Danio rerio: one gene and its partner. The main gene of each other region encodes a partner of the protein of the gene in region 2 in a complex. Links are inferred from orthologs where the notes say so. Each region holds a gene or a part of one and is shown on either strand. Other genes may lie near its edges. The genes, in order: nmt1a and aifm3.

The links.
Region 1: the proteins of aifm3 (region 2) and nmt1a are in contact, whole or in part, in a crystal structure (PDB 6SJZ), measured with the Homo sapiens proteins. The link is inferred for Danio rerio from reciprocal best matches to the Homo sapiens genes AIFM3 and NMT1. Residues at the interface, in NP_001373743.1 of Homo sapiens: Gly2, Cys4, Phe5, Ser6, Lys7, Pro8; in NP_066565.1 of Homo sapiens: Tyr180, Val181, Glu182, Asp183, Asp184, Asp185, Phe188, Arg189, Phe190, Asn246, Thr282, Ala283, Gly284, Tyr296, His298, Phe311, Tyr401, Ser405, Ile469, Gly470, Asp471, Asn473, Leu474, Leu495, Gln496.

What each region holds. Positions count from the first base shown.
Region 1 is NC_133178.1:38,187,340-38,191,172, forward strand, and holds part of nmt1a (glycylpeptide N-tetradecanoyltransferase 1), read right to left. Parts: intron 2,958-3,833; coding exon 2,849-2,957; intron 1,699-2,848; coding exon 1,528-1,698; intron 1,399-1,527; coding exon 1,231-1,398; intron 1-1,230.
Region 2 is NC_133180.1:13,332,929-13,336,761, forward strand, and holds part of aifm3 (apoptosis-inducing factor 3), read right to left. Parts: intron 3,302-3,833; coding exon 3,189-3,301; intron 2,718-3,188; coding exon 2,631-2,717; intron 2,334-2,630; coding exon 2,242-2,333; intron 1-2,241. UniProt on the Homo sapiens protein: Induces apoptosis through a caspase dependent pathway. Reduces mitochondrial membrane potential.

The DNA of each region.
Region 1 (3,833 bases), on a different chromosome or scaffold from region 2:
GACTTGTGTTCATACCAAAAATAAAGACTTTTCATCAAATAAAAAAAAGTTTAGGATTAGTTTTGTCTGATTACATCAAATGATGCATCTTTTGCATTTTTTATGGAGAATCTAAAAATAGGTAAATGATTATTTTTGAAATATGATCATTGTGACTCATTTTGCCAGATGAACTCCAACACACACACACGTTCCTATATCCTGGTTGGGACTTTCATAGACGTAATCTACTCTACAGGCTGTATAATATTTCCCCCTACCCTGAAACCCAACTCTCACAGAAAACATTTAGCATTTTGACAATTTCAAAATACTTAATTCTGTGTGATTTATGAGATGTTTTTGCATTAAGGTCCCATTTACACTTATACATTTTAGTTTTAAAACACATTTTGCACATTTTTGTAAAGTTCAGTCTTGCATCCTTTTCTTCTAAGTTCAGACTTTGCAAGATTGATTTGGAAAACAAACTCCTAAGGACACATCGGGTAAATCTTCAAAGAGAACAGTGTACTTTATAACGTCATTCGCATCATCTTGGCATCATCTTAATAAACTGATAACATGATATAAAGAACTGTCAATTTTCATTTTGATATTAGCAACTTAACAGACACCAAAAATGTTAAGGCATCGTGTAGCTAAATATGTATAAGCATCATCTTCACTGTATGAATATTTATAATAAAACGGAGCTTAATGTTTAACAAATACATCACGTTTAACAATTTTAGTGAGATCAGATCTAGCGGTAGGTGGTTGATGAGACGTCCGACGTGCACAGCTCTCACCTGGGGTTTTGTGCTCAAAGCACCTGCTGACTGCCTGTAGCTCAGATGCGCGCATACGTTGAAGAGCATTCCAGAGTGTGTGTGGTCACGTGATGTGCATTTTTAGTGGTGTAGTGTGGACGGAGAGCTGTTCAGAAATGCTAGGTGAATGTCAGTGTGGATTGGACGTGGATTGTTTTTATTCCAAAACGCTGTTTTAAAACTAAAACGTATTTGTGTAAACAGGGCCTCAATTTTGTTCCCCCAGTAGCACAAGTCTAAATGGGTTTGTGTGTGCATTCAGGTTTTACATAAAAAACAAGTACACACACACACACACACACACACACACACACACACACAAACACACACGCACACACACACGCACACACGCACACACGCGCGCACACACACACACACACACACACACGCACAGATATGCACGCATTTAGTGACTGACCGACTTGGCGAGGATAAGAGCGTCTCCCATCAGGTCCACCAGTGGGGTGGTGGTGTGTACATTATAGAAGGAATATGCCGCCTTCAGACTGCGGTGCACAGGATGGTTCATGATGGTGGACGGCAGAGTGTAGAAACTCAGGATATCAGTCACCTTCCCATCTGTAGTCTGCAATGGATGACACAAACAGCCAGATGCTCATGACAAAGACTTTACACAAATGACCACATCATCCACTTTTACCTGCTAACAACACTATAATGTCAATATATGCAGATATATAAGGCAGTGTTGTACCTCCACTACATAGGTGTCAATGATGTTCTCCTGAGGGAGCAGCCAGTGTTGAACCTCCTCAGGGCTCATGACTGGAACCAGGTTGAACTGATTTAGGTATTCCTTCAGCAGGCGGTGAACCAGTGGGATGTCTTTTATGGTCATCGGCCTCAAACCTGCAGTCTTGGGAGCCTAAAGGAAAGAAATGAGCATTAAGGGATTATTAAGGGAAACAGGCTGGCACACACACACCAGGGCTGAACAAGCATCTATATCGCAAAGTGTGTATCTGTAATAGTTGCATCTCAGGATTAGATTATTTATTAAAGATTAAAACAAAGATATTATTAAATACGAGTTTTTGATTATTTATAAATGATGACCATGTTATTATTCATTTGATTGTTCACATTCTGTACCTGAATACTTTTAAGGTCCGTGCACACCGGGAAGCTTTTTCCGTTGACGTTTAACGCCTTGTGACTAAATAAAGGGCACCAATGTGATCATGCACATCAATGCGCAAAATGACAGACGTAAAAGCGTCATTTTTTTAAGAAACTCCTTATGCTCGTTTTTTTCCTTCTCCACTAATCAGATTGGCTCTTTTGATCACGGAGCTGCTGAAGCTACAGTAAACAGCACTTGGAGGCGCTCAAGCACAACACTGTCAATGTGAGCGCATTTTGAAAAAGATGCCCAGAGGCAATATGAACGTGGAGCTGCTTATTGCACTGGTGAACAATAATCCTTTCTTCATCGCTAGAGCTGCTACTTCAACCATCCAGGCTTGTTCGAATCGCCAGTAACTTTAACAACAAGAGTTTCAACTTTCTGACTTCTTCTTCTGTATTACAAGCGAGTTTTAGAGGCTTAAAGTTGTGTAGCGCCATCTGTCATCAAAGAGTGATTCTGCATTCTCTTCTGCTCAATGGCAGTAAAAATCGATCGGGTTTGAATCTGGAAAAATGTCTCGAAAAACGCAGACAATAAACGCAAAGGAAAAGCGTCCCATTGTGTACGAGCATTCAGACACCCAAGAAAACCCCAAAGCACTGTTTATTTTTTATTTTTGATGGTAATTTATTATATTTTATTAAGATGCACGTGCATAGAACACAACTTAATAATCACAGTCAATCTAAATGAATGAAATCTTTCCAAATAGAGCTATTTAAATCATCTGATGAAATGATATTCATATCGCAATATATATCGTGGCAAAAGAAAAACCGCAAAGCAGATTTTTCCAATATTGTGCAGTCCTAACATATACACACACACACATACACACACACACACACACACACACACACACACACACACCCACCCACACACCCACCTCTGGCAGCCGGTAGAGCTTCATGGTGCGTTGCATAGTCATGTTGCGACTAAGGTGAGAAAACTTCACCTCAATCAGCTTTCGTGGGTTCAAAGAACGGTGCCAGTATCTACCAAATAAACACAAACAAACTCATTAGTACAAAAAATGATGTAAAGTTCAAATTTCAATTATGCATTAATATACATTACAACCGCCCAGGGGCATTGCTAGACATAAAGCTCTACTAAGGCACAGCATCCCCCTAAGAAGATCAATAAACAAATAAATAAATATATATATATATATAATTATAAATAAATAGCAGTACTAATGTTATTATACAATTATGATTCTAAATAAATTACTGAAATGAATCCTGAATGTAACCGGAAAACAATCTAAAGACGCAACTGGAGTGATGCTAAGATAATTTAAGAAATCTTTTGCATTAATATTAATTTTATTAGAATGAAATGATATAGACAATTCAATAGAATACAATAAAAGATGTTTTATAGAATTATCTGTTGTGTGTTGTCTTAGACCCAACTTAAGGCCGAGAATTAGGTTTATTAAGTCTGTCCTCTCTGACTTCATCCCTCCTTTCTGCTTCATACCAAAAAATATATCAGGAGCCATGCAGTATGAATAAGATCACAATCATATTATTTTAACTTTATTTTGTCGACTTTCGAATCTCACTGCGTGCTGGTTTCACAAAGCACGAGCGGCACTGCAATTTTTTTTTAGCGTGCATGTTCACAACCGAACCTGGAGTAGAGCAGCACGTCAGCGTCAAGCAGAAGCAGTGTGCGTGAGCCACACGGGTATGTTTTTTTTTTTTTTCTGTGCACATGCTCAGTTTGCTTTTTGATTTAACTACATTGCTTTCATCAGCGTTGGTTTGGTTGCACATAGAGAATGATGTCTTTATTCTGGGATTACCACTCTTAATAAATACACTTGCATATAAAGTAAATCGTATTTCAAAGCATTTACTGGG
Region 2 (3,833 bases):
CAAACTCCACACAGAAATGCCAGCTAACCCAGCCGGGACTCGAAGCAGTGACCTTCTTGAACAGAGGCAACAGTGCTAACCACTGAGCCACTGTGTCGCCATGTAAGTTTGTATTATCTAATACTTTAATTAGTAATATTAGTATTTAAGATGCAGATCAGAGCAAACAATTTCTCCCTATTTAGAGGGGTGACCCCTAATATAGATATCAGATTAATAAAATGCTCCATTATTTGAAATGCTGTAGTGTTATTTTCAGTATAGCAATCTGTCACTTGAAAAAAACTGCAGAAGAAGAGTAAAAAATATAAATAAATCATACACTTATCAATTAGATTCCATAGAATCTACGGTAACTTACTGGCACCAGTTTGTCAGTAGCTTACTGTAAATAGATTACAGCAAACATACTGTATTTACATTTGCAGCACCATTTAGCTTGCTGTATATATATTTACATAATTGTATGTATATCTTTACTGTAAAATATACATTTTTTATACAAATAATATACATACTTTTATCCATATAATATTCATATTTTATACATATAATATACATAATTTTTACAATTCAATTGTAAAATTCGGTAGCATGCTGCATAAATATCCTACAGTAAAATATAGTTCATATTACAGTCAAATAATGTGTAATTTGCAAAAAAACAGTAAATTTGCTAGAAAACAGTTCAACAGACCATCTGCAGCGCAAGGATAAAGAACAAGCCTTCTCCATTCGGCCTCTCTACTTTCTCTTTACTTTTACTTTTGTGGATGAAGAAACTGTGTTGTGCACTCCACTGAATTCACTGAAATCCTATTCTTATGCCCCATATGGTCAAATCTAAACTAGTTTTCATAATAATTTTTTGGGGGTTTTCACCTTTATTTTTGATAGGACAGTAGAGAGTATTGACAGGAAAGCATGGGGAGCAAAGAGAGGGGAAGGATCGGCATAGGACCGCGAGGCGGAATCGAACCCGGGTCACCGCGAGTGCATGTGTCGACGCACTAACCACTACACCGCTGGCGCCAACCTAAACTAGTTTTTATAAAAAGAAATATAAATATGCATATAATAAAATAATAGTTCTAATAATAACATGGAAATTATACGAAAGCAAATTGTCATAAATAAACTGAAAAAAGCCCCCTGACATAAAGAAGGCATGGAGGCAGTCGTTTTTATATATATGCAGTAAATAATAATTTTTTAAACATTTTTAATTCTTTTTTTTTTTTCATTTGTAAAGATATTTGTGTATTGCTGTACATCCTGTGTGTATTAATCGTTTGATCCTGCATACTGTACGCACATAACTAACGCGCTCTGCGCTGGACTTGTTCAATAGCACAGTCTATTTTAGGGTGTTTCACACCAAGATCGCCTGAATGAGGTGCTCTTGGGCTTAATTGAAACGAACTCTGGAGTGGATCGATTGTAGTGAGAAGGCGATACGATCTGAGCCCGGCTATATCACAGCGTATCATGGACATGTCATAGGCATATATATGGCTATATAAAGAGAGAATTATGAGTTGGGCGGGATGTCATTCAACAGGTAAATGTGTGTTTCATTTCAAATACGAAAGTGAAAGCATGCTGAACAATTAACGAGAGCTGTTGATCCGTTAGGAAAGCTGACCGACCTGCAGTCTTAGTTTATCTGTTATTTCTCTCTATAATGTAAAGCCTGTAATGCATAAGCCAACTGCTATCTATGAGAAAGTCTTACCTCTGCTTTATATTTGACGATATCTAAAGGTGTCACCATTTAAAATTAAAAGGCAGCTATTCACTTATAATGTCTTTTTGCTCATCGTCATAAGTTAAAATAAGGACACATGACAGCTGAGCGGGACTTGTTTTAGCTATTTTGGTTAGTTTAGAAACTTGAAAGCAAACCGCACCAAGAACAAAGAGCAACAATGGAACAAATTTAATTCCTGTTTCGGAACAAATTAATCAATTTACAGGTGTGAAAGCACCCTTAGTTTCTCAAAATAGCAACGCGCTAACAATGCGCCTTAACACACCTCTATTGTAGACTGGAATTGCCATGAGTCCACAAAGCGGTGCAAATGCATTTGCTATTTAAACAACAAGGCGCAAAATATGAAAATTAGGGTTACACTGGTCTGAATACAGCTACAAATCGAGCTAGGAACATGTTATGCCTTATTGCACTGGGCGTATGATAGGACCCTGCCTGAATAGTAGTTCAGCTGTATTCATGTTTACCTGCTTCCAGTGGCAATGAAGAGTTTTCGATATTCCATTTTAAACCCATCCCTAAATGTCACAGTGTGTGTCTTCACATCCACAGAGACAACCTGTGCAGAAACATGACAATTTGTGCAATTCTGAATATTCATTTGTAAAAAAAAAAACAAAAAAAAAAAACAACAAAAACATATTTAAGAAGTCATTTGTTGAAATGCTGTTACATTACTAACTAAATTAATTATTCCTAAAATTATGTATTACAAGGGTATAGTTCCAATATTACTGTCTGATTTGCCTTAGTATTTTGTATCATAGTTGAAAGATTACAATATTTATTTACATGTTTATGTTATTTACATGTTTTTATATGTTATTTTTTTCATCTTTATCTACAAAGACCTCACCTCTTTCTCCAGTAATACCTCAATGTCATGCATCTGAAAGAAATCAGATGAACGCAACTGCAGCTGTTCAGCCGTGCTCTCTAAAGACTGAAGAAAAGCATCAAATCAATGTCTGAGTGTCGGAATGAAACTTTCGGCTGGAAAGAAATTGTCATGTAATCATGTACTGAATATGTGACCCCGGACAATAAAACCAGTCATAACAAACTGAGATTTATACAAGTTGAATTAATTCTGCTGTTGTATGATTTATGATATGACAATATTTGGTTGCGATACAAGCATTTAAAAATCTGGAATATGAAGGTTTAAAAATACTGAGAAAATCACCTTTAATATGATCCGATTTTTTTGAAAGTAGGGCATTTTTGAAAAGTCATCAAGGAAGGTGATCTTTAATTAATATTGTAATGATTTTCGGCATACAGGAAAAAGCAGATCATTTTGGATCATTTAATGAATCATAGAATAAATATCATAGCTTTGTGGTCCAGGGTTACATGGTTAAACGTTTTTTTTTTCCCCCACACTATTCTATGGACTGTTCTGTGTACAAACCTTACTCAGTTTAGGCCTGTCGTAAGGCAGATGTTTGTCCGTGGTGCAGATCACTATACGGTCAGTGAAGCCCTCCTGCCTCAGTGTCTCAGCACACACCAGACCAGCAGGCCCTGAGTGAGAACATCCACATAAGGTCAACAGGAGCATCAGAAAGTTTCTTCTTTTATCTTGAATCTGAATATAAATGCGTGACTTTAGCTGATGCTTTGAATGTTATCTCCAACAGTTTATCTTTATTATTACTTAACAACCAGTAATTGCGCTGTCTCATGTTTAAAGGTGGCAATTAAACTTTGATCTTAGTCTCTTCTAAATGTACAACTATTATAAAGCTATTTTAAGTTGAATAAAATCAAATCAGCCTGAGATAAGAATGATGTTAAGAAATGGCTTTGTTTTGCACATTGAAGTACATTACAAGGTGCATTATCCATTCAAGCCACTCTGAAGGTAAATTCAGCTTTACTAGGCTAAATACAGTATATATAGCGCAACTGATAAGGTCAGCAGATTGTAAAGTTAAAAGCCATAGCCTATAAGTTTCACTAGGATTACTTAAAACATCACGTGAATTCGCTAAATGTCAACTGACCTGGCATTTAGGGAACATAATAGTCATAAAGTCAATATTATAGTTATTTG